Linked DNA regions of Mytilus edulis. The protein of the gene in region 1 purifies or fractionates together with the protein of each later gene. This does not show direct contact. Links are inferred from orthologs where the notes say so. Each region holds a gene or a part of one and is shown in the gene's direction. Other genes may lie near its edges.

Region 1 (3,762 bases):
AGTCATTGATAAATCGTCAAGACTTGTATTACAAAAAGTGGATTTTTTGTTAAAACTGCATATATTTTCACTGATTTTATTAGTTAATGTGTTTGATTCATTTTTAAATAATATACGCTTTTTTTTAATTTCTTGTCACGGTACTGTGTAAATACAAGTTGTCTCTCGTTTGAATTTTTATTTCCTTTTTATTTTAGCCTAACATATATAAATATTTTTTAACAAGGTAAGTTATTTGTTAGGCTAATTTTATTATGTTTAATGTCGTGACACTGTCGCACTGAATATTATAGGGTGGAAACAAGAAGAAGGACGGGTATATTATATATTAATAATGTTATCTTTTTTCATATTCACGTAAAAAGACAAACACTAACGTAACGGTACCCAAATTACAACGAGTACCCAAATTGCACCTATTTAGCAAAAATAGCAGCGGAAATCTTACAAGATCTCCTAGAGACTAAACAATTTGTGTTTTTATGATTTGATACTGTGCTTGTCTTTCAAAATATGTAAAAATATTTAGATATGCACAAAACATTCACAGTATTTATCAACAGATGAAGTGTTTACGTCATCGCAACGTCATCTTTTTAAAATTAGCAAATACAATATGTTACAAGTATCCATTTCTTGAAAAAAGAAGAGTAAGCAACGACAAATATCCAATTGTTCAAAATATTTGTAAAAAAATAAACAAAAGCTTTGTTATTCGACTTTTGAAGATGCGAATTTAACTTGCATGGATGCAATTTGGGTACTCCTCATTACAGAATCATTGATGGTTTGGAGGTTAGTTCAGACCAATTTTTCTATGATTCCATATGAATTGAAAATCAAATTGGTGTACCTATATGATAAAGAAGGATACGGCTACAAAATAAACACAAAATAGAAATTTTTGTCTTGATCATAAAAAAACGTAGTTGAAAAAAACTGTCAAAATAGGTGCAATTTATTCTTCATTCCTGATTTGTATTATTCATTTAGACGAAAGTAAATTCGATTTATATGTATTACAGAATTATTTTTTTTGTGACGAAAGAATATAGTGTCGACCGATTTAAGGACGAAAGCAGATAAATTTGGTGGGTGTCTTCACAGCCTCGACTTGACGTTAGACATGCAAATGGCGGACATGTTTCGCCGATGATACTCCTATTGAATGAGTTTTCAGTATAAAAACCTTTACAACAGATATTAACGATATATTACATCAAATATAAGAAGGTATTATTTGTATTATACAAAAATAGCATGCAAACTATACACCAAACCTTGAAAAAATAAATAAACATACATTATTCCCAATTCTTACGAGTACATAATTTTTAATATCTGTCATAATCTGACAGAAAAAAACCAGTAGAAGTAAAATGTTCATTCATCAGTACTATATAACGAGTCAACTACCATGTTTTTTTTCTGCTATCAATATTTCATGTTTGATAAACATACTGCTGGTTTCCGGTATATTTGTATTTTGATTAACCTGATCATGGTATCGCTGATAAAACGCCTACTTTCTACACTTCTAAAGACTAAAGGTAAACGAAGATATGGGATATACAACAACAAGACGGCAACCTAACAGCAAAGGCAGGGGGCATTTGTCCAAATCTGACATCAAAACTACTGGAATCTTGAGACCATGCTAGATCTACACTCAGCATGCACAGTATTTGTATCGTGTTTTTCACCATCTAAATTGTAAGGGATCAGTGTTTTCTCACTAAAGTAATATGCCCACCTAATCATTATGCTAATGTTTTGATAAAAATATATTTCAGCTGTTAATTCAAAAATGCATCAAATTTTAATTGTACAGTTCTTTAGCATGTTTAGCAATAGCATTGTTAAGTCTCTATGATTTTTAATATTATATTTGTCTGTATACACCTTATCGCTATTTGTCCGCCATTACTGGATATCACACAGGTTCCCGTAAAATTTTGACGTCATAAAACAAAATATTTGACGCCACAATGGAAAAGTGATTGTTGTATGCGTCAAAAGTTGAAGCGGCCAGGTCAGCCGGGATTAGCGATAAGGTGTATTTGGATCACGCCTCTATTGTGCTCTTTCCAATAAGATATTGAATTGAATTGAACTATGAAAACTCAATTTTACTTATAAATTCTCAATTTCACAATCATTTCTTAAATGGTTGTGAAAATCAATCAAACAAATAGGTCATCTGTGTTTTTAATCCAAGTGCATTATTCATCATTGTTCATGCGCAATGACTAATCACATATATAATTTACAAGCAACAAAGTAAGGAAATGTTGAAAAAAAATATATATACATGTATACAAAAAGCTTGCGTCAAACTTTTCCATTGCAATTTATTCAAGATACAGGCATGACTATGATCATGATGATGCAGGGAACATTCAGAAAAAAAAGAAACTTTTTTTGCTTTCCATTGTTTCCCAAATTACATTTTCTTCCTTCGATGTGGACGTCATGATCATCATGTTTTTATACGACCGCAAAATTTGAAAAATTTTTCGTCGTATATTGCTATCACGTTGGCGTCGTCGTCGTCGTCCGAATACTTTTAGTTTTCGCACTCTAACTTTAGTAAAAGTGAATGGAAATCTATGAAATTTTAACACAAGGTTTATGACCACAAAAGGAAGGTTGGTATTGATTTTGGAAGTTTTAGTCCCAACATTTTAGGAATTAGGGGCCAAAAAGGGCCCAAATAAGCATTTTCTTGGTTTTCGCACTATAACTTTAGTTTAAGTTAATAGAAATCTATGAAATTTTGACACAAGGTTTATGACCACAAAAGAACGGTTGGGATTGATTTTGGGAGTTTTGGTTTCAACAGTTTCAGTGATCGGGAAGGTCGTGCGCCCTGTGCCTATAGCGCATATCGACCAGAAATGGCGCATAGAGTGACTTATGTAAGCGCCCACGTGGCGCACGATATTTTTCACTTCGTTTCGATACGTTTAGATATTGTCAAATGGATTTCCGATCGTGTTCCGTGCCGCCATGTGTGTGTACAAAACTGTGTAATGTTCCTCCAATGATAGGAGCACCTATATATTTTTGGGACGTCTCGTGTTTTTTCCTATGGAAATAATAGAACCATGGGGTGTAACTGATAACCCAACAAACGTAATTAACCATCATTCATGATATGATTTTTTACAACCTTAAACTTGTAAAATTTGGCTAGTACAGACGAGATTTGTCTCTAATTATTATCTTTTAACTTAGTTCAGCTTGCTACTATTTCGATTGAAAAACCCCAAAGCCTTTTTATGAATATAGTTTTTGTCTCCATAAAAGGAGACTAACTGTCCTTGTCACTTTTTGGTCTTTGGCTTGTTTTGACATTTTGTAAACATGCCTTCAGCGCATTGTTGTTTTGTTTTATCAATTAATGATACTCTCTACTGTTATTGTTGTCATCGTGATGAAGTAATAAATATACAAGAAGTGCAGAGGAAATGCCAAATACGTCCTCTAATACGGAACGTCGGGAATAAGTATGGTATCGACGAAGACCCAAATTTAATGTAAAAAACCCATGCACATGAACAAGACAACAGTAGCAGTAGAAACATTGTAAATAAAGGATATCTTAAATATTATCTGGTTTGGAAGAAATTATTTTACATTCTTTGTTGAATTGAAATAACAAAATCACAGGCACAATATCTATTATATTATTTAAAATCATAAAGGTAAGTACCACCATCTCTTTGCCGAGATATACACTTTTTTACTTTTTCACTGTAG
Region 2 (3,762 bases), on another chromosome or scaffold:
TAGCGGGCAGATGTCATCTGACCTTGACCTCATTTTCATGGTTCAGTGGTCAAAGTTAAGTTTTTAAGTTTTGGTCTTTTTATCTAATATTATATGCCAAAGGTCAACTATATTTAGTGTATGGAAATATATTATGATCTATATGTCAGTCCCGCAGGTTTTATTTGACCATGACCTCAATTGCACGGTTCATTCAGTGGCGGATCCAGGGGGGGGGGGGGGGGTTCCGGGGGTGCGCACCCCCCCTTTATTTTTGCCGATCAATGCATTTGTATCGGGACATATGTTTTGCACCCCCCCCCCCCCCTTTGCCCTGGGTGCCCTGGGTTAGCACCCCCCCCCCCCCCCCCCCCCCCCCTTTCGAAAATTCCTGCATCCGCCCCTGTCATTGCACAGTGTTAAGTTTTTGTGTTTCGGTCTATTTTTCTTAAGTAATAGGTCAACTATATTTGTTGTATAGAAGCTTTGTTAGCTGTACATTTCTGCCTGGCATGGTTCATCTGACCTTGACCTCATTTTCATGGTTCATTGGTCTTTGTTTAGCTATCTTGGTTAATGTTAAGTTTATGTGACCGTTCTAATAAAGCTTTATACTTAGGACTATCAACATAATATCAATGATTAGTTAAGAAGGCGAGATATTTCAGTGTGTGAACTCTTGTTCTTTTTCAATCGAGTTCATATTTCCCGCCTTTATTACTTAGAAAGGTATTTCCGATGACACATGCGTACTGCATTGCTCCAAGGATCAGTCCACTTCCGTTTCGATAATACAAATTTACCCACGCTAATTAGGAACTTCTTACACCTTCTTTTATGATAAAATTTGTCTTAGGAGGCTTAATTTCTTTAATTGGAAATTTTAGATAAACGGACAACAATCTTAACCGTGGATATGTGACCAGAACATCTGTGAAATTGTTGAAAATTGACACTTGTCTCAGTGGTTCATTCATGAAAATGATAATTTTACAGTACACAAACTTTTAAATCACTTTGTATACAAATCAGGCAGTCTAATACATAAAAAAATTTCAGCATAAATTTAACTTGAAGGTAAGCTTCCTTACATTCTCATATTTTTCAAATAAAATGTAAACTGTTGCACTTTGAGTTTAAAACGAAAACAAACATGGCTGCCATAAAATTGACATAAATTTTTAACAAGTTGGTGCAGACATTTTTTTATTCCTCATCATTTGGTTATCCCCAATCAATAATTTATAGGTGTTCACAGCAACACCAGCTTTATGAATGTCCAAGTTGTCAATCAATATGAGTAATCATGTAAAACTCCTAATTACTCATACATATTTATTGATGACCTAATTTTTGTCCCATCACACTGAAGTGTAAGTATTTATAGGTATAAATGTGAATTAAGAATTTTAAGTGAATTTTTTCATTTTCTAATAAGGGATGACCCTGATAGTCAAACATTTTGTTGGCACTTTATCATTGTCTGGAATCAAAAGTTGCATTTTTAGATCAGTATCTTGTGACAGTGCACATGGTGCAGCAAAATCTGTCAAAAAATGTGTAAAAGAAATTTGATGTCAGTGGTTGAATGGATTTTAAGTTCTTGTGGTCAAAGACTAGCTTTAAATTTATATCAGTAGACCATTTTTTATCCCTTTCGCCAGTAACGTTTATAGGTTGCAATTCTGTAAATATGGACAAAACAATTTTCCTTAGGAACTGCAGCTGTTACGTACCAGTTTTTCATTGAAGTTTCGTAAAAAATATATATTAGAATGAATAGGTTATATGCACTACAGTTTTTTAAAAGGTCAAAATATAGGGCTATGCAGCATATTTTTAATATTTATATGACACGAATTACAGGAGTTTAAACTTTAAAGTCAAAGTCTGTTCTACCCTTCCTTAAGGATGGGTCTTCCACAGATTTCAAATTGCTTGCAATTCATGTGATTCTATATATGTAACATTTCCAAGTTAAGTCTCTATAATATGTAACATAGAGATCATATCTGTGAACCAGTAGGTAAACAAAATAAAATATCTATGAATATTATATATCTCCACAAAAGTAGTGTGGTTTGTGAAACAGCTGTATTTTCAAAGTGCAACCTAAACTAATTTATTTAAATTGAAAAAAACTAAAGAAAATGCACATTTTACACAACAATATGCGTTGCAATAAAATCCTTGCCTTTGATCTCATTGTGCCTTTCCCTAATGTCAACATCACAAATTATATAAGTACTTATTTGACATAAATTGATATGCTTGACATTACAAGCTTAGTGCAGGTGTCTGTAGAAAAACTTGGAATTTAATTGCAGTAAAAAATATTTTTGTTCTCACTTTATTTAAGTATTATATCATTTTCCGCTCATATTTTGTATTATGTATTATATGTTCTTTCATGCACACCTTTATATTTATATATGTTATGGATCTCTTATAAAATTCCTATATTGGTGTAAAATTGTGTATATGTATCCAGGGGTCGTATTTAATCTTTTTTGTGTACTGGCCAGCCGGACCAGTGGACTGAAAACTCTGCTGGTCCGGCTCCAAATCTACTGGTCCTGCTAAAATGACATTCATTTGACAAACACTAATATAAATATAATTCTTTTTCCCATGATATTTGGTATTTGCGTTTCCTTTTGTTAATTTCATATACTTTATTTTGATCTTCCTTTTGATTTTCACTTGTTTTATTTATTTTGTCCAGCGGTTTAACTCCTTCCAAAAATTTCTTATTGTTGTGAAGGACGCTCACCCGAGATATTAATTAACTTGCTCAATTGTAATACCCCTGTCCCCCCGAGTACCGTGTAATTGATTTCACAGATAAATTGTTTTGTAAACAAACAGAGATTGCGATGCAATCAGTGATTTTTATCGACAAATTTCTACTGGTCCACAAGACCACCAGCTGACAAAATCTTCAGGTCCGAGGCACATTCTACTGGTCCTGGACCACCGAGCCGCTAATTTCGACCCCTGTATGTATCCTATACATGTAAGCTGTATTGCTTTCGGAATAAAGTATTATTATTAATATTTGTTAGAAAAATAGTTGCAGTAATGGAAAGATTAAAGAAAAGACTGAGTTTTCGGAAAAAGAAAGACCATGTACCAGAATGCTCAAAACCACATCAGTGGCAAGAAGATGAGAAAAAAGTTAGAGATGGAACATGTAGTTTTCAAGTGCGGGTAAATATTTCATGTTGATTTTTCTGAATTTATAGGTTTATCTAAGTTATATAAACCAATTTATGTTGTAAAAGTCACTGTTTTAACATGTTGTTGATTCTTTGCCATCAATTTTGATGTGCATGCATTGATATTAAGGCCAACTAAAATTAATTAGAAGATTTTCATCCAAATTTTTGAAAAAAATGGGGCGGGTGGATTTTATTTTTTAAATTTTATTTCATATGAAATCATCGTCATGAGTTTTTCATACCGCGGGGTATATGCTAGTGGGAAACAAGCTTGTATAATGTATATACATGCTGTATAAGGAATCCTACACTATTTTTCAAACTCTTAAATAAAAATCCCTGATTGGCAACCACTGTTATACATGCAATTGCCGCTTTAGAAACCTATTTATAGTAGACAGCATTTCTCTTCAGTCTTCAGTTAGACTACTAGTATACCTACACCACATTTATTTTGCTTTCTAAGCAATGGTTTGTAGTCGTCATAAAATCAATTAAATGTTTTGGTACAATTGTATGCAACACAAGTATTACGAGTACAGAATAAAATGTAAACTCAGTG

What was found. The genes of interacting proteins can lie anywhere in the genome.
Region 2: the proteins of AP-2 complex subunit alpha-2-like (region 1) and protein numb-like purify together in Drosophila melanogaster (affinity purification with western blotting; 5 studies listed by BioGRID). This does not show direct contact. The link is inferred for Mytilus edulis from reciprocal best matches to the Drosophila melanogaster genes AP-2alpha and numb.

What each region holds. Positions count from the first base shown.
Region 1 is NC_092350.1:91,494,891-91,498,652, forward strand, and holds the start of AP-2 complex subunit alpha-2-like, read left to right. Parts: upstream 1-1,095; 5' UTR 1,096-1,233; intron 1,234-3,762. UniProt on the Drosophila melanogaster protein: Adaptins are components of the adapter complexes which link clathrin to receptors in coated vesicles. Clathrin-associated protein complexes are believed to interact with the cytoplasmic tails of membrane proteins, leading to their selection and concentration.
Region 2 is NC_092346.1:36,947,165-36,950,926, forward strand, and holds the start of protein numb-like, read left to right. Parts: upstream 1-739; 5' UTR 740-1,056; intron 1,057-3,044; 5' UTR 3,045-3,060; coding exon 3,061-3,189; intron 3,190-3,762.